Linked DNA regions of Rattus norvegicus. The protein of the gene in region 1 binds, or shares a complex with, the protein of each later gene. Links are inferred from orthologs where the notes say so. Each region holds a gene or a part of one and is shown in the gene's direction. Other genes may lie near its edges.

What was found.
Region 2: the proteins of Gpaa1 (region 1) and Pigu are in contact, whole or in part, in a cryo-EM structure (PDB 8IMX), measured with the Homo sapiens proteins. The link is inferred for Rattus norvegicus from reciprocal best matches to the Homo sapiens genes GPAA1 and PIGU. Residues at the interface, in NP_003792.1 of Homo sapiens: Gln245, Leu310, Arg311, Arg313, Phe358, Leu359, Ile371, Ala389, Leu390, Trp393, His397, Leu500, Ile504, Leu508, Cys512, Leu515, Thr516; in NP_536724.1 of Homo sapiens: Tyr349, Ile355, Phe356, Cys360, Ile363, Val364, Leu367, Leu368, Val371, Leu372, Leu375, Ile377, Tyr378, Ala379, Gly380, Ser381, Phe386.

What each region holds. Positions count from the first base shown.
Region 1 is NC_086025.1:109,929,067-109,938,522, forward strand, and holds Gpaa1 (glycosylphosphatidylinositol anchor attachment 1 protein), read left to right. Parts: upstream 1-3,489; 5' UTR 3,490-3,567; coding exon 3,568-3,641; intron 3,642-4,078; coding exon 4,079-4,258; intron 4,259-4,340; coding exon 4,341-4,452; intron 4,453-4,664; coding exon 4,665-4,812; intron 4,813-4,889; coding exon 4,890-4,991; intron 4,992-5,079; coding exon 5,080-5,276; intron 5,277-5,349; coding exon 5,350-5,546; intron 5,547-5,634; coding exon 5,635-5,788; intron 5,789-5,957; coding exon 5,958-6,053; intron 6,054-6,189; coding exon 6,190-6,380; intron 6,381-6,466; coding exon 6,467-6,637; intron 6,638-6,755; coding exon 6,756-6,999; 3' UTR 7,000-7,073; downstream 7,074-9,456. Other genes in the region: Exosc4 (exosome complex component RRP41), read left to right, coding at 1,171-1,377, 1,478-1,837. UniProt on the Homo sapiens protein: Component of the glycosylphosphatidylinositol-anchor (GPI-anchor) transamidase (GPI-T) complex that catalyzes the formation of the linkage between a proprotein and a GPI-anchor and participates in GPI anchored protein biosynthesis. Binds GPI-anchor.
Region 2 is NC_086021.1:164,287,362-164,296,369, reverse strand, and holds part of Pigu (phosphatidylinositol glycan anchor biosynthesis class U protein precursor), read left to right. Parts: intron 1-650; coding exon 651-713; intron 714-4,318; coding exon 4,319-4,428; intron 4,429-7,434; coding exon 7,435-7,535; intron 7,536-9,008. UniProt on the Homo sapiens protein: Component of the glycosylphosphatidylinositol-anchor (GPI-anchor) transamidase (GPI-T) complex that catalyzes the formation of the linkage between a proprotein and a GPI-anchor and participates in GPI anchored protein biosynthesis.

The sequences.
Region 1 (9,456 bases):
TCCCATGATGAACTGAGAATATTGGTTTCTTTAAGAACCCAGTTATGTTATGTGATTATGTTTTTGTTTTAATCCCACGGGTGGGATATGGGGCTGCTTCAGATTGTCCACAACTACTATGATTGTCTCATGCAGGGACTGGGGGCTCATGGCTGCACATCGTGGGAGTGGACATGAGTCTTACTGCTTAACTCCTCCGTCTCAGTGGGCCTCTTTTCTCCTGGGCTGCCCTCTTCATCTCTGAGGTGCCTCATACATCCTGGCAAAGCTACACTCAGTCCCTGTTCTTTCAGTCCAGTGTTTTGACATCTTGTCCGGAAAAGGCCTCCCAGGCTATTTCTGCCCCTGCTACATCGATTTTCCTCAGTCTTCCATGTCTCTTGTCTCTCTACTGGAATGTAAACTCCCAAGACAGAGACATTATAAATTGCCTGCCTTTGCTGCTTTGTCTCAGTGGTGTAGCAAGGCCGGCAAACATGCACATTTTAAGGGTTTTTTTGTTTGTTTGTTATTTGTTTATTATATATAAGTACACTGTCACTGTCTTTTAGACACACCAGAATGGCATCAGATCCCATTACAGATGGTTGTGAGCCACCATGTGGTCGCTGGGATTTGAACTCAGGACCTCTGGAAGAGCAGTCAGTGCTCTTAACCAATGAGCCCACATTTTAAGGTTTGCTAGCAATTTGCTCAGCTTTCTAGGTGGAAGCCAGGTCAGGTCTAGAACACATTAGGCCAGACTACTGGTAGACCGAGGGACAGTAGATCAAATAAAGTTGAGTGGTTAACCAAGGAGATGAGGACCCAGGGCTTTGAAGGTCGGGGAAATTGAGATTTTCTTTTACATGTAATGAGAAGCTTCTGGAAGGTAAGTAAAATATTAGTGTGTGGGTGACACAGTCAAATCACATGTTTGTAAACATGGTGACCACGATGGGAATGATTTAGGAAGAAATGGAGCAACTAAAGAACAAAGGGGTTTTTTTTGCGGAAGGTGACAGTGGTGCGGCTTAGACCGAAGTGTAGCCCTAAACCGCCTGCCATGGTTTGGAACCAAAGTAGCTGCTGCTTTCTGAAGCACTTTAGAAAGAAGAGGAGGAAGGCTGAGCCATCGAGTGTGACCCAGGAGGTAGGCGGCCCTGGCTCATTCCTTCTTTTTTCCTCCAGATCCGGGGCTCCCGGTCACGGGCTCTGCCTGACCGGGCTCTAGTGAACTGTCAGTACAGTTCAGCAACCTTCAGCACAGGTGAGCGCAAGCGAAGGCCTCATGGAGACCGGAAGTCTTGTGAGATGGGGCTGCAGCTACGCCAGACCTTCGAGGCAGCTATCCTCACACAGCTGCACCCACGTTCTCAGATAGACATTTATGTGCAGGTGAGCCTCAAACCACTCCCCCGGGGGCGGGGCTTAAGGGGATGAGGTCTGCCTGAGATGCTGGAGGATGAGATGTCTGATGTCCTGATGCCCCCTGCAGGTGCTACAAGCAGACGGTGGGACCTATGCAGCATGTGTGAATGCAGCCACGCTAGCAGTGATGGATGCTGGGATACCCATGCGGGACTTTGTGTGTGCATGTTCGGCTGGTTTTGTGGATGGCACAGCACTAGCGGACCTCAGTCACGTGGAGGAAGCAGCTGGCGGGCCCCAGCTAGCCCTGGCCCTGCTGCCAGCCTCTGGCCAGATTGCACTGCTTGAGATGGATTCGAGGTTGCATGAAGACCACTTGGAGCAGGTGCTCGAGGCTGCTGCCCAGGCAGCCCGGGATGTGCACACTCTGCTGGATCGTGTTGTCCGGCAGCATGTGCAGGAGGCCTCTATCTTACTGGGGGACTGAGGCCAACCCCCCATATCCAGAATAAAGGCCTGTTCCTCTCCTGAACACACTGTAATGTACAGCACTTCAAAGCAGCTCAGGGCCCTACATAGCAGTTTGTACTGCAGTCCCTAAGTGGAGAGAACACTTGTGCTAGGAAGAGCAAGAGTGCTCATGCTGTGCCTGCCCAGATATCAGGGTCCACAAAGACCACCAGGGGTCTGGATTTGTATGCAAAAGCAAAGCCTTTATTCACACTTAAGCTTGGACCCTCAGAATCCTCCAAGCATCAGATTTGTGCTGAGACCTTGAACCTCATTTAGGCAAGGTTTTTATACTAGTTTGAGCAGGGAACGGGGGTCTCCAGCATAGCGATTGCCTTACTTAGCAAGGGTTGAGCAGGGAGGGGGTCTCCAGCCTGTCAGTTGCCTTATTTGGCAAGGGGTATCTTGGTGCACAAGGATTGGTCAATGATGAGCAATTTATCTGTAACCTTTGGAATTTTAGACACTTTCCCTCTATTTCTCTGATTGGCTCTAGCCCAGGGCAGTTTCTTCCTGGATTGTTTATGATATTTCTATTAATCGCAGTTCAAACAAGGGACAAGCAGGCTCAAAATGGAGTCCGCTTTCTCCCATCACTTGTGTTCCTCACTCATGCCCTCAGACTAAGGAATGTGCCTTGCTTACACAACTCTTCAGAGACATGAGTGCAAGGCTGAGGTGGCTATGTGTGCTCATCAAGAGATGTAAGGTTAGACTAATGCAATGGTTCTCAACTTGTGGGTCACAACCCCTTTGAGGTCTCCTATCCGATATCCTGCAAATCCGATATTTACACTATGACATAACAGCAAAATTAGTTATGGAGTATCAGCAAAATAATTTTATGGTTGGGGTTCACCACAACATGAGAAACTCTATTAAAAGTAGAATGTTAAGAACCACTGGATTAATGTTTTTCCTTGGGCCTTTCTTGCCTCTTTGGGCTCTAGAAGGATATCAAACCTTTGTTGCCTCTTGGCCATTTATTCTTTTTTTTTTTTTTTTTTTTTTTTTGGTTCTTTTTTTCGGAGCTGGGGACCGAACCCAGGGCCTTGCGCTTCCTAGGTAAGCGCTCTACCACTGAGCTAAATCACCCAGCCCCTTGGCCATTTATTCTTAGACCCTTACCTCTGGACCCTCTTAGAAAAACTCCTCTGACCCACCACTACCCCTCTCCTCTGGCCACCAACTCGCCCACTGTGCTAGTCAGCCCACTGACTTAAGGTTCATGACATCCATAGAAATGATTCAACAACGGATCCTCAGTTCACATGGGGGCCCTTAAGTCATAGCTATAACAGTCATTCAATATCTCACTTCAGCAGGCAACAGTCTTTTCGCTGTTCCAGCTCCGTACCCACCTGTGTCACACACTCCCGAGAAGAACCTTTAGGCAGGCACGCTATTGCTGTTCTGTCTTGAGTTCGGCCAGTGTCTTGCCCTTCCAGCTGTTTGCCCGCAGCTTCACAACCTCAGGTTCCAGTTCCGCCCACTGGCCGTGACAGCATCCTGTATTTCTCCAGCCTACTGCAATACTGAGCATGCGCAGAATGTGGTTTCCAACGACATCTGCCCCTACGCTACCAAGCGTAGTGGCGCGACGGATCCTGGGACCGGAAATAAAGGCAGCACGGGGCGCCGGGTCTGACAGGAACCCTGCGCTTGGAGGTGTCAAGCTGCGGCGAGAGCTGAGCCCCGCGCCCCGCCATGGGTCTCCTGTCGGACCCGGTGCGCCGGCGCGCGCTCGCCCGCATCGTCTTGCGCCTCAACACTCCTCTATGGTGAGGGCGGGTATAGGGGGCGGGACTCGCGGGAACATGAACTGCTGTAGTTCCACTCGCGCCTACTGCTCCAGGATCTGCGCCCTCCTTGCAAATGTCACTCAGGCACTGAGCTTGGAGCTCTGATCCCTATCCATTCCTAATATAACGTCTCGGGTTTTTGGGTTTTTTTTCTTCCGGAGGCAGGATTTCTCAGTGTAGCCTTGGTTATTCTGGAATTCCCTCTGTAGACCAGACTGGCCTCGAACTCAGAGATCTGCCTGCGCCCGCCTCTGTCTCCTGAATGCTAGGATTAACGGCGTGTACCGCCACTGCCCGTCTTCGGCTCCGGGTTCTTAATGTCTTGGACCATCCAGCTGGACCCTCTGGGACATGATGGAAACCACGAGTGAGCGTTCCAGGTCGGGCTAATTCCTGTCCTCTGTACTCTCTCGCAGTGTGCTGAGCTACGTAGCTGGCATCGCCTGGTTTTTGGCGCTGGCTTTTCCGCCGCTAACCCAGCGCACTTATATGTCTGAGAATGCCATGGGCTCCACCATGGTGGAGGAGCAGTTTGTAGGTGGAGACCGTGCCCGCAACTTCGCCCGGGACTTTGCTGCCCACCGCAAGAAGCCAGGGTGAGTGCCTATCAGCGAGCTGGGGATTTCACGTGTGGCCGAGACCATGGAGCTCTACCTGAGGCTATCTTTGTGTCTCCAGGGCTCTGCCAGTAGCCTGGCTGGAAAGGGCGATGCGATCCGTAGGACTGGAGGTCTACACTCAGAGCTTCTCCCGCAAACTACCCTTCCCGGATGAGACCCATGAGCGCTATGTATTGAGGGAAATGGGTGTGCCTGGGAGAAAAGTACATTGGAAGGGTGGCCTGGGTTGGGCATCTTGTTGAAGTGCCCCGGAACCAAGAAATTCTGGGAGGGACGGTCTGAAGATCTCTGGTGGTGGGCATTGTAGTGCCAGGAAAGAAGGCAGGTTTCAGCCTGTCTTCTGTAAGGTCTGCTGAGGCTTTCCCATTAACACTTTGTGCAGATGGTCTCGGGTACCAATGTGTATGGCATCCTGCGGGCCCCACGTGCTGCCAGTACCGAGTCCCTGGTACTCACTGTACCCTGTGGTCCAGACACCACCAATAGCCAGGCTGTGGGGTTGTTGTTGGCACTCGCTGCCCATTTCCGAGGTGAGGCTCTGGGGCTCTGGTCAGGGAGGGTTTGACCAATGCCCCAGGCCCTTGCTGACCCTGCCTCTGGTTTCCAGGGCAGATTTACTGGGCCAAAGATATAATTTTCCTGGTAACAGAACATGATCTTCTGGGCACTGAGGCTTGGCTTGAGGCCTACCATGACATTAATGTTACAGGTACGTGTTACACTAGTCTCGCTCCTCTTTCAGGGTCAGCTGTCGTCACTTTGTACCCCACTCCAGTGCTCACTGCTTGCTCCTACAGGCATACAGTCATCTCCCCTGCAGGGCAGGGCTGGTGCCATCCAGGCCGCTGTGGCCCTGGAGCTGAGCAGTGATGTAGTCACCAGCCTCGACGTGACCGTGGAGGGACTCAACGGTCAGCTGCCCAACCTTGATCTGCTCAACCTCTTCCAGACCTTCTGCCAGAAAGGGGGGCTGTTGTGCACACTCCAGGGCAAGGTGGGACCACCTGCTTGGGAGCCTGGGGCCTATGAGACGGGGTGAGTCTGATCCTGTCCCCATGCCTCCAAAGCTGCAGCCCCAGGACTGGACATCACTGGAAGGGCCTCTGCAGGGCCTGCAGACACTGCTTCTCATGGTGCTGCGGCAGGCCTCTGGCCGGCCCCATGGCCCCCATGGCCTCTTCCTGCGCTACGGAGTGGAGGCCCTAACCCTACGTGGCATCAACAGCTTCCGCCAATACAAGTATGATTTGGTGGCAGTGGGCAAGTAAGTCTCTGGACCCTCTCCGTGTTCGAGGCGGTATCTAGCTGGGATGAGAGGAGGGCTGGCCCTGACCTGACTGTGCTCCTGACAGGGCTCTGGAGGGCATGTTCCGAAAGCTCAACCACCTCCTGGAGCGCTTGCACCAGTCGTTCTTCTTCTACCTACTGCCCGCCCTCTCCCGCTTCGTGTCCATTGGACTCTACATGCCCGCCACAGGCTTCCTGCTCCTGGTCCTTGGACTCAAGATATCCTCCACCCTCGTTCTCGATACTCACTTGTGGCCAAACTCAGATCCCTTTAACTGTAAAGTGGGGTTAGTCCTTCATTCCTACTGTAGCGGTGTGGCAGCGAGCCTATGATCTCCCATCTAGCAGGTCCCATCCAATTCTTGTCGAGGTCCTTGACTTAGTCTAAGCTCTCGAGCTATGGATGCAGTTACACGAGGCTGGAGTGAACCCTGAGGAGGCTGGGAAGGCCCCTGGCCCCGGCTCTCCACCCTTGGCAACACAGGTGACGTCATACTCCACTGCTCTTAGGATGGGTTCTCAGCGTCCCCAGCAGTGCTTCCTGTGGTCAACCCTCAGTGTGAGTCCTTCAGGTTCCCCTAGGCCTCTGGCCTGATTCCAGGTACCCATGTACTTTGCAGAGCGTGAGCCTGGCCTCACTTATGGCGCCCTTGCTGATCTCTCAGGCCATGGGTTTGGCCCTCTATTTCCTACCTGTGCTGGGCCAACATGTAGCTGCCCAGCATTTCCCAGTGGCTGAAGCTGAGGCTGTCGTGTTGACACTGCTAGCGATTTATGTAGCCGGCCTAGCCCTGCCACACAACACCCACCGGTGAGCTGCTGGGCTGGGCACGTGGAGGTGGGCCCCCTGGACACTTTGGTGGATTCTGGACTGCCCTTGAACCTCTTACCTTGTAGAGTGGTCAGCTCACAGGTCCCAGACCGGGGCTGGATGGCGCTGAAACTGGTGGCCCTGATCTACTTGGCACTGCAGCTGGGTTGCATTGCTCTCCTCAATTTCTCCCTGGGCTTCCTGCTGGCTGCCACCATGGTACCTGCTGCTGCACTCACGAAGCCCCACGGACCCCGGTACGTGCTGGTCAACCTCTTAGCAGTATCTTTGCCCCTCACCAGGCTTAACCCTCATTTATTCACTTGCTGGCATCCACTGTGGTGCATACTTAAATGTCGCCCTTCTGCCCACCAGGACACTCTATGCTGCCCTGCTGGTAGTGACCAGCCCAGCAGTCACACTCTTCGGTAGCCTATTCCTGTGGCGGGAGCTCCAGGAGGTACCACTGTCTCTGGCAGAGGGTTGGCAGCTCTTCCTGACTGCCTTGGCCCAGGGTGTGCTGGAACACTACACCTATGGTGCCCTCCTCTTCCCAATACTGGCCTTGGGTCTGTATCCTTGCTGGCTGCTCTTCTGGAATGTTCTCTTCTGGAAGTGAGGTCTCTGGGAAGGGAACCCCAAGCCTCCATTCTACCTCCTCCCTGGAAAATAAACAAGTGCTCTGTTTCTGTACTTTGGGATCCTGGCCCACTGTCTTTTCGGCGCCCCTGGCAAGCTGCTTGGCACCCACTCACCTCTTTGAAGGATCCACCCTGTTTGAATTCTCAGGTGTTTCTCTCCTGGTAGCAGACGTGGGGGTCTGGCCCCATCAACGTCTGGAGGAGAGCCTCAGTTAGACACTGAAGGGCAAGTGTAAACCCATTCCCAGCTCTCCATGCAGTCCTGCAGGTGGCCTGCAGGTAGGCAGGCCCATGTATGTATGCAGTGCTGTCCAGTGCTATGCTAGAAGCGATTCTGGTGCTAGATGAGATAATCTGCAGCCAGGGTTTGAGGGCCAGCAGTAGCTGTGGTCCTTGGGGACCTCACAACTCCATCTTCAGTTCTGACTGAAAGGACAAAGGAACCTCTTAGGATGTTCAGGGTTTGGACTCTGTTTCTAGCCAAGGCTAGAACTTTACTGTGGGCTTCATATGGAGTAGAAGAAGTATAAGGCTCCACTTACTTCAAGTAGCACAAGCCAAGGCAAGGTGCCCACTAGAGGTAGAACTCTACATAGTAGGAAAAGGTAGGACTCTAGTCTCGCCAGCACCCAGAAGCAATAGGCTGAGAGAGAAAAGAGCCCCAAAGCAGGGCAACACTGGCGAGCCAGCACAGAAGGAAGCAGGTTGTGACAGGATCCCAAGAAAAAGAAGTATGGCTCTTTCTAACAAGTTAGGACCACGTCAGAAACTTTGGTGACTAGTCTGGAGACACATCATGGGATGGCCACAAGGCCTTGACCAAAGACACTTTAAAAAACGAAAAGAGTAGCTGGAGAGATGGCTCAGTGGTTAAGAGCACTGACTGCTCTTCCAGAGGTCCTGAGTTCAATTCCCAGCAACCACATGGTAGCTCAGAACTCTCTATAATGAGATCTGATCGCCTCTTCTGGTGTGTCTGAAGACAGCTACAGTGTACTCACATACGTAAAGTAAATAAAATGTTTTTTTAAAAATGAAAAGAAAAGAAACAGGTCTGGAGGTGCCTTTACACTGCCCAGTAGTGGCTTCAGTGCTTGGAAGGGAGGCCCAAGGAAGATAAAAAATTCATTAGAATCAACTTAGGGCCAGGGGACCTTCCTGGGACGCCTCTGATGGTTCCCAGCTTCCTGTGAGTTGGTTCCTCTTGGCCCTTGGTGGTTTCAAAGAATCTCACTCTGAGCCAAGAGCGATGGCACCATAGGTGAGAGCACCTGCTGTCAGGTCGGACGGCCTGTCTTTGATCCTGGTACTCACACAGCGTAAAGAGGGCTAACTCCCACAAGTCCTCAGCACACACGCACCCTGACATGCATATACACATACACACAAAATAACTTTAAAAGTTTCTTTGTGGGTCCCCAAAGAGACAACTGGCTTACCTGGTAGGCTTACACATGGAGGGACTATATGGAAGCCGCTGAGGCAAGTAGCCCTGCCACTGAGTTCCAGTCTTTGCCCCTTTAGGCCCATCTAGTACAAAATTTCCCTCCCTGCATTGTGGCTGGTCTTTGGCCTTAACAGTTTTTAACAGAACTGTAGCAGTCACTTAAAACTCAAGTGGAGATATATGTGTGTGTGTGTGTGTGTGTGTGTGTGTGTGTGTGTGTGTGTGTGTGTATTTGGGGGAATACACAGGAAGAAAGGTAAACAGTCATTTCACATGTCCTGAATGTATCCAGCATTTTTCATCTACATGAATATTAAGAAGGAATGGTGGGGAAAATATTGTTGAGGTGGCATTTGTCTTAATTTTCACTAATGTGTACATTTTTCAAAATGCGAGGTAACTAGGCATAGCAACATGACTATAATAATCCTACCCCTCTTTGAGGCAGAAGCAGGGGGACCACGAGTTTGAGACCTGTCTAGGTTACACAGTCAATAAACAAAAGGGGGAGCAGTGGGTGGGCAAGATGGTGTGTGCATATGGTCCCGGCTGTCTGGAAGGCCTTGAGGATTACATGAGCCTTGTAGTTTGAGGCAAGTCTGGGCAACATAGGGGAACATTGTCAAAACAAAACAAAAACAAGGTATGATGTCTCATGTCTGTAATCCTAGCATACAGCCTGATTCAGGAGTGTTTTGAGCCTGGTCTGTGTATGTGACGACACAGATTATAAAGGTGTAAGGAGTTGTGACAGAAATAGGTGTAAAGTCCTAAATGTGTCATTTGGGGGGCTGACATTTATACTTGTTCTCTGGCATTCCATTTTGGCTTTCCTAGTCACCAAGTCCAACTTGGATGTGAGCAGGTCACCCTGCATGAAACTCCTAGGTCCTCTCAGTAGATACTGCCATGATGCCATTCTGTCACAGCTAGAAGGACGGAAAGAGCACATTCAGAACAGATCCCTTCCCCAGCAACTGTTCTTTGA
Region 2 (9,008 bases), on another chromosome or scaffold:
GTTGAAAATCTGGGTCAGGATACAAGGGACACTGATGTCAGCGGGCGGTGGTGGCGCACACCTTTAATTCCAGCACTCAGGCAGAGGCATGTGACTCTCTAGGTTTGGGGCCAGCCTAGTCTACAGAGAGAGTTTCAGAATAGCCAGGGCTATACAGAGAAGCCTTGTCTTAAACACAACCCCCCCGCCCCTCAAAAGAAAGAAAAGAAAAAAGAAACCCCGAAGTCTTCCTTATTTTTAATGGCTGCTGTGTATTGGGACGTGGGATGTGTGAGGTGCCTGCAGCTTACAGATCAGTGGGCATTACTCCCGCTTCCCTTCATACAGCAAACACATCGTCTTTGCTTTGCTTTGCTTTGTCTGAGACAGAGTATCACTGGGTCACCTAGGCTGATCTTGACCTCATGAGAGCCCCAGCCTTCCGGGATCAGATGGATTAACTGCAGTGCCTGGCTTGTTTGCATTTAATTTGCTTTTCTAGAGATGTGGGCCACCAGACTGACTGGATAGTAGTCCAGGGCATCTGTTGTCCTATCTCCCTAAGTAAGCCTGGCCTCACTGAGTTAGGTACTGGGTAGTCAGTGCAGTACCATCCCGGAGTTCTTCAGTATCCTGGTTCTGTTTCCTATTACTCCTCTTTCTCTTGACAGATAACAGATGCCCTCACTGCTATTGCCCTGTATTTTGCAATTCAGGACTTCAATAAAGTTGTGGTAAGTCATTAGCGGGTAGGACAAAGCTGGTGGTATTTGGTAACTCACTTATGGCAAAGAATCAAAAGACATGTACTTTAAGATCCAACTATGTAAAAATGTTAAGAAATTAAGATGGCTCATTGGATTAAGGCCTTTGCTAGCAAGCCTCAGGTAAGTTCTGTCTCCAGGGAAGGAGAGAAATGATTACTGGAAGTCATCCTCTGATCTCTACTTATGTGCAGTGACACGTACACTACTACACACACAGACACATGTAGGCACACACACTTCAAGAAAGGAAGGAAGGAAGGAAGGGAGGGAGGGAAGGAGAGAGGAAAGGAGGAAGGAAAGAAAGAAGAAAGGAAAGAAGGAGAGAGAGAGAGAGAGAGAGAGAGAGAGAGAGAGAAGTGGCGTGTTTGTATTAGCTCACACCTGCAGTCCTGGCACTTGGGAGGCAAAGGCTGTATGAGAAGAGTAGGGTCATTCTCTGCTCTATACCAGTTTGTGGCTAGCCTGGGCTTAATGACATACTATCTAAATTAAATTTTATTTTATTTATTTTTATTTTAATTTTATTATTTTTGTGGGGGTATTTTGTGAGCAAGTATGGTTGTGTACCACACGTGCAGTGTCCTGGAGACCAGAAGATGTTGGATCCCCTGGAACTGAAGGGATAGAAGGTTGTGAGGCACCATATGGGTGCTGGGAATTAAACCCGGGTCTTGTGCATGAACAAGTGCTCTTAATCACTGCACTGTCTCTCCAGCCCCTAAAATAAACATGGAAAAGTCTTTCCTTTTTCAAAGGAAAAAAATGAATGTAGCCTTTAACTCACTGTATTAGGCCTCTTGAAGTAAAATTGGATTCCCATTGTTGATAAATCTGTTTTCCTTCAGACGGTAATTTGGGGGTTGGAGATTGAAAGCAGGGCCCTGGAAAATGCTAGGTAAGCACCATCCATCCCACCGAGCCGCACTCCCCAGCCCTAACAGAATAATCTCAATTAGAGAATTTGGCAGATTGGGCTGGCAAGATTGCCTAGTCAGTAAACATGCCTGCTGCCAGTCTTGGCAGCCTGAGCTCAGTCCCTGGAACCCACACGACAGAAGAAGAGAACTGACTCCAGCAAGTGACTTATGAGCTCCATAAGCACGCTGTGCTACGTGTGAGCTCCTGTGTACAAATAAATAGGGGAAAAAAGTATTGATATAAAGTTTACCCCTAATTATGTAATAGCCAAGGAGACTTACATCTTGGGACCATTCTCCTTGTCCAGGCTTCTGAGAGGACACATGTGTGCCTTGTACCTGCAGAGGTCTGGAGAGGGTGTTGGATACCCTGGACCTGGAGATACAGACAATTGAGTGTCACCATGTGGCCCCACAACTGAATTAAAATTCGAAGTGTTTTTGTTTCCCTATTTCCAGAGTTCAGATTATTATAACATTGGATCTCTTGGTTAGAGTGAGGTTGATCTACATTCTGTCACAAATGACCTCATTTTGAATGCCAGCTCTTTTGTTTTGTTTGTGTAGTGCTGGGGATCAACCCCACGGCCAGTGAGCCATCTCCCCAGCCTTTCTGTTGCTATGTTTTGAGGCAGGGTCTTGGTACAGAGCTCAAGTGGACCTAGAATTTGTGATCACCTTCATATGAACGCTGAAAGTAGCAGTCCACAGGACGATTGTACATACACTGCTCTGTTTCTCTCTTTTCAGTGAGTACGTAAGACCCAGGGTCCTGTGTATGTGAGGCAGTCTTCTACTGAGCGGTACTCTGTGCCTGCTTTATTTCATGTGTGCACTTGTGACGGCACACGTGCAAAGTACCACTTGCAGGGATTGGCTCTCTTCCTCCACCATGTTGGTCTCAGGGGCTGAGCTCAAGCTACTGTTGGACTTGATGGCAAGTTCCTTCACTTTCCCAGCTCTTTGCTGGCCCTGTTTGTTTTTTTAAACAGAGCCTCTGTATGTAGTTTATACTGGCCTTGAACTAGTGGCATAGCCCTAATAGGGCTATCTCCTGAGTGCTGGGAGGACAGGTGTGTGCACTATTACAGGTTTAGGTAGAATGTTAATGCATGTATTCCCGAAAGGCCCCACTTTGTAAAGGAGGAGGAGTCGTTCCTTCAGTATTATCACCACTGGTAAGTTGTTTATGCTCTAGTAAGTAGTGCCTCCCACTGGTCTCATGCAAATCACGCTAATTAAATTCAACTGCGCTCTCTCTCTCTCTCTCTCTCTCTCTCTCTCTCTCACACACACACACACACACACACACACAGAGAGAGAGAGAGAGAGAGAGAGAGAGAGAGAGGTTCTAGAAATCAGTGATTAAGAGCACTAATTGCTCTTCTAGAGAACTCAGGTTCAATTCCCAGCATCTACATGGCAGCTCACAACTGTTCAGAATTCCAGTTCAGGGGATCCAAAGCCCTCTTTTGATCTTTAGGGGCTTCAGGCATGCATGTTCACAGACATGTGCCAGCAAGACACCCATATACATAAAATAAAGTAGAGAGGGACATGTTGGGTTGGAGAGTACAGCAGGAGTGAGCGGTCGTTAAGAGAGCCCTGGGGGCTGGCTGTGGTTAAAATACTGTGTACATGTCTGACATATCAAAGGATAAATAAAGATTACATTTAAAAAGTCTCTCTTTGTTAAAAGGATCTTTATAGTCTGAGAACATTTGTCTTGGTAGGATTTGAGATTTTTGTCCCTGTAGTCTTGCATAGCATCCTGGAACACTGGTTCTGAGGGGACTCCACAACCAGCCCTCCTTTCCCATCAGCCTGAGGGACATGAATGCTGACCGACAGTAGCCAGTTGATTTTGGCAAAAGTAACATTAGTCTAATCTGTCCTTTTCTGCAATGATGTTTCTTTTTCGGAGCCCACATCCGAGACTCTGTTGGGATACAAGGGGGAACAAAGAGCTTTCCACCCCTGTGTGACTGCATCCTAGCTCTCTAGCTCCCCAGCCATTCCAGTCCCTGCCTTCATCATAATTCCTTTACACTCCTCCTTGCCAGTATAAAAGATCAAACAAACAAACCTTTGACAGAGGAATGAGGAAGGGAACCTGAGACACTGCGTCCGGATCCCTGAAACTGCTTAGACATGTTTTGCTGATGGAGCTTTTAAGCCCTGCCACCACTGATGGTACCTCCCAGAGTGACTAAGTGGCTTTTGCCATACGTTAGTCCATTCATTTGCCCCCTGTGCTAAGTGTTAGGCATACACAGAGAGCAAGTTAAATAACCCGAACCCTTGTGGAACTTACACTCTAGGGAGGACCCAGGCAGCGGTCAGAAGTGCTGAGAGTGTTTGTGGTAAAATGTGTATCCACACTAAAGGAGTGCACCCCTTCCTGGGAAGGGAAGGCGGAGCTGAAGTCTCACGGCTGTGTGGGAGTCAGCTGGGGAAGAGCTCTGGGGTCACGAGGAGCATTGCCTGTTCATGCACTGGGACTTGGGGTTAGGTGGGGGACTGAGAGTGAGGAGCCTGAAGAAGCAGAGCAGGACGGACTGTGGTGTGGACCAGGGCAAAGATTTTTGTCTTCATCCTGAAAGCAGTGGCAAATCATCTGTTTTGTGTGTCTTGTGCGTCCTCTCCCACCTCTAGTTTAAAAAGCAGAAACTTCTCCTAGAGCTGGACCAGTATGCCCCAGATGTGGCCGAACTCATCCGGACACCTATGGAAATGCGCTACATCCCTCTGAAAGTGGCCCTGTTGTGAGTACTCCCCCACAAATCAGGACTCAGTGCCAAGAAACGAAGGGAAATCCTGATGAGCCTCTGCCCATGTTGTAGTTGTAGAGATTTGCAGTCTTAGTCATCCAGTGTTTGCTGTACTTCTCTTGCACAACTGGGGTTTTGGCCAGCAAGAGCGACAGAGCCATTCTGTCTCTGTTGAGACAAAGACTCACACAGGGGCACGCACAGCCAAACCCTTCACAAAGGCCTTCTGACTCAGTGCTGGCCTGGACTCCAGCCTGATTAGAACTAGTGCTTCTAAAACATGGTAGTCCTTTATTAGTGGTGTCTTGAAAAAGATTTTGGTCTTTGTGTGCTGCTGTCTCACATAGTTTCTGTATTTTATGTATAATTAAGTTCCCTGTTTATAATTTAGAACACCGGGCTAGGTGACCAGCTTGGAAGAGTGGCAGTGGCTGACACTTTAAGAACGAATTCTCTGGGAGTAATTAATGCCCAGTGAGTATGATCCTTTCAGATCATTCTCATCTGTGTTTCTGAGATAGGCAAGATGAACTATTTAATCAGCCAGTAGTCACCAGATATAATAACATGCTAGTTTCTAGGAACACATACTAAACAAAACATACATTTCCTCATGGTAAAACATGCCCTTAGAATTTTTTAGAATTAGAAGCTGGATACGGTGTCACATGCTTGTGATCTCAGCCACAGGACCTAATGGAGGGAAGACAGAGTTTGAGGCTAATCTGTGCTATGTAGCAGTATTCTGTGGAGGGAGCCTGGTTAGAGGCATGCTTGCATAGCTTACAAGGTTTGATCCTCCGCACCAAATAAACTGGGCATGGTGGTGCTTGTCTGTAACCCTACCACTTGGGAAAAGGGCAGGAAGATCAGAGGTTCAAGGTCAGCCTTGGTGACCACTTAGGTATTCTGCGGGATGGTGTGGGGTACATCTTAGGAGCCTTTGCTCTGTGTATGAATTTCCTATTCAGTATTCCAGGTAGATGTCTAGACAGCTGCTTCTTTAGTGTCACCCCCTACTTAGAAAAGGTTTTGTGTTTTTTCTCCTATGAGATAATTTTGGCATATCTGTTCCCAACTCCATATTTCAGAAATTTGATGGGAAATACTTTAATAGGACCAAAAGTTTAGCAACATAATGAATCCTTATAGACTCTTGTATCCCCTGAGGGTAGTTTCATAATAGCAGCAGCCATTTCTTTAAAGGTTGTGTAACAAGTCTGATTGCTTGGAAAAACAAAAAACAAAAACCCACCAAACCCCCAAGAGTTTTTAGGCGTTTGGTTTTAGAACTACTAATCTTACATTCATAGGAAGTAGTATTAGACTTAAGGTCTTTACTTGGGAATAATTATTATAATCTTTTTCTAAGATAATCAGAATTATGTAACTAGCCTTTCTTCCTTTGTCTGGTGGGAAACTCAGTCAGGTCTGAGGTTGTTACTGTCCAGCTGTAGGCCTATCTGAAGCTGTTATTGTCCAGCTGTAGACCTGTCTGAGGCTGTTATTGTCCAGCTGTAGACCTGTCTGAAGCTGTTATTGTCTAGCTGTAGGCCTGTCTGAGGCTGTTATTGTCCAGCTGTAGACCTGTCTGAGGTTGTTATTGTCCAGCTGTAGACCTGTCTGAGGTTGTTATTGTCCAGCTGTAGACCTGTCTGAGGTTGTTACTGTCCAGCTGTAGACCTGTCTGAAGTTGTTACTGTCCAGCTGTAGACCTGTCTGAGGTTGTTACTGTCCAGCTGTAGGCCTGTCTGAGGTTGTTACTGTCCAGCTGTAGGCCTGTCTGAGTTGTTATTGTCCAGCTGTAGACCTGTCTGAGGTTGTTATTGTCCAGCTGTAGGCCTGTCTGAGGTTGGTTACTGTCCAGCTGTAGGCCTGTCCAAGGTTATTACTGTCCAGCTGTAGGCCTGTCTGAGGTTGTTACTGTACAACTGTAGGCCTGTCTGAGGTTGGTTACTGTACAGCTGTAGACTTGTCTGAGGCTGTTATTGTCCAGCTGTAGCTCTTTGGTTTTCTTAGCTTTGTGTTCTATTTTCTTCTTATATATTTCCCCTGGTCTTGATTACGGCTGGTTTTACTTTACTATTATTTTTGTTATTTATTTTCATTTTAGGTGGTGCAGATTTTTTTGTAGAAGCAGGACAGAAATAAAGAGAATCCATTTTGACTGTGTAAGACTTTCCAACACTTTAGATTTATTTTCTGATTCCATTCCTTCCCACCTTAGCAGGGAAAGACTCCAGTTTAACTCTTTCATAATGGGAGGTCAAGATGTCCTGTGAAGTTCTGTGCCAACTAACTTGTAGAATTAGGAGGATACTTTGTTTGTGGGTCTGGCTCAGGAGTCAGTACTGCTTGACTATCAGGAGGGCTTATTAAAAGAATGCTGGCTTTAGAACCAGGAAGACTTGATTTTTTGAGTATATTTAATAGCTTTAAAAGCTTGGACTAGTTATTTAATCAGTGAGTCTCAGTTTCCTCATCTACAAAAGCAGGATAATGTTGCTGGCCGGGTGGTACACACTTGAGATCCCAGCACTGACAAGGTGGAAGCCAGAAGGTGGGAATGCAGGGTCATCACTAGTTCAAGGCTGGCTTGTGCCACATGAGACCAAAAAACCACACAACGGTGTAAAAGAAAACACTAAAAACAGAATAAAAGCTAGAAAATTTTTGCTGTTTATAGGATCTTTAATAGAAACATGACAGCTTTGCATATATTATATATGATTTTGCTAAGTGCCTTTATTTATCCTCTTTATTTATCCTCTTCTGTTTGGGATGCTTGGCTAAGAAGTGAGTTGAGGGTCTGGGGATTTAGCTCAGTGGTAGAGCGCTTACCTAGGAAGCGCAAGGCCCTGGGTTCGGTCCCCAGCTCCGAAAAAAAGAACCAAAAAAAAAAAAAAAAAAAAGAAGTGAGTTGAACTTCAAGGTTGTGGTAGCCAGGGCCCTGGCCCACTGATGAGATTTGCTAATGACAGATCTATGTGTTTTCCCTAGCTATCTCCTGAATCCCTACACGATCTTGTCTTGTGTTGCCAAGTCTACCTGCGCCATCAACAACACCCTCATTGCTTTCTTCATTTTGACCACAATAAAAGGTAAGGCATTTCAGAAGAATATAAGAGATGCAGGGTTTTATTACACGCATGCACAAGCTGACACGATAGCACATACTTATTATCACATCTGGGAGGCTGAGACAGAAGGATCTGGAATTCAAGGCCAGCCTTTACTATATAGCAAAAACTTGTCTCAAAAAGAAAAAAAATACATTTAAAAATTATGTACAAATAACATAAGATTATTATAGAAAATTTAGATAAACAAAGAGAAAAAAGGTAAAGTTCTAAAAATCTACCACTCAGAGAATCACTGTTGACATAATTTTTCAAGAGTTCCAAACAAGTTCTACGAGAATGTCAGTCTTCTGTAACTGCAGTCCAGCTTCGTTTCTGTTGACTCTCATTCTGTACATGCGGGTCAGGAAGAAGGAAAAATCAATCCTGACTGTAAGATGTGAAGGCCGGTCTTTGCTGTTGTGAGTCAGGCTAAGGGAGGATGACTTTGAACTACTGATCCTCCTGCCTCCACCTCCCAAGTACCGGTGTCACAGGCTTGAGCCCTCGCCTCCGCCTAGTCCTTTGGAGGAATACTTTACTATTCTTACTTCTGTGTTTCTGAACCATGTAGTTACCTTACGATGAATGATAACGTTTCAGGCATTGTTAATCACGCTCCATGATGAGAAGTGGAGATTTCTCGTAGGACTTTTGTAGCAATATTTCTGCCTCCTCTTTGTTTGATTTTCTTCTATCTCAGTCTTGATGAAATCAGTAGTCGGGCTGAGAGTGTGACTTGGTGTTAGTATGCATTTAGCATGTGTGGATAAGCTCTTGCTTTACACTCTAGCACCAATAAGTAAACAAATCTGTGGTCAGAACTCACATTTCACGGCACTGTATGTTACTCACTGCTGGGCAAGGTAGCAACCATTATCACTTTTATTTTCTATTACTACTTTTGCTTTTTTCTATGTGATTGCTCTAGTCTTATGCCGTGTCTTATTTTTCCTGGAATAGTTCTTGTTTTGCTTTTACTCTTATCTGTTATACTATGTGTATGTATGATATGTTTGTAGGGACACACATGCCATGGCTCATGTGTGTATGGTAGAGGACTCTAACTTTGGTTAGTTCTCTCCTTCTACTTTTTTGTGGATTCTGGGGTGGAATTTAGGTCATCAGTTTTTCACAGACGCCTTTCCCCATTGAGGCGTCTTGCTTGCTTGCTTGTTGTTTTGAGACAGTGTCTCACGATGCAGGCCTGGCTGGCCCAGAACTCAGTATGTAGACTAGGCTGGCCTTGAACTCTCAGAGATCCGCCTGCCTCTACCTCTCAAGTGCTGGGATTGTAGGTATGTGTCACCATTGATTGTTGAGCCATCTCTCTAGCCCCTAAATGTACATTTTTGTTTCTTTGAGACAGGGTCTCACTTTGCAGCCTAGGTTGGTCTGGAACTCAATTTGTAGCCCATACTGCCCTTACAGTGCCTTTTTATCTACCCAGTGCTG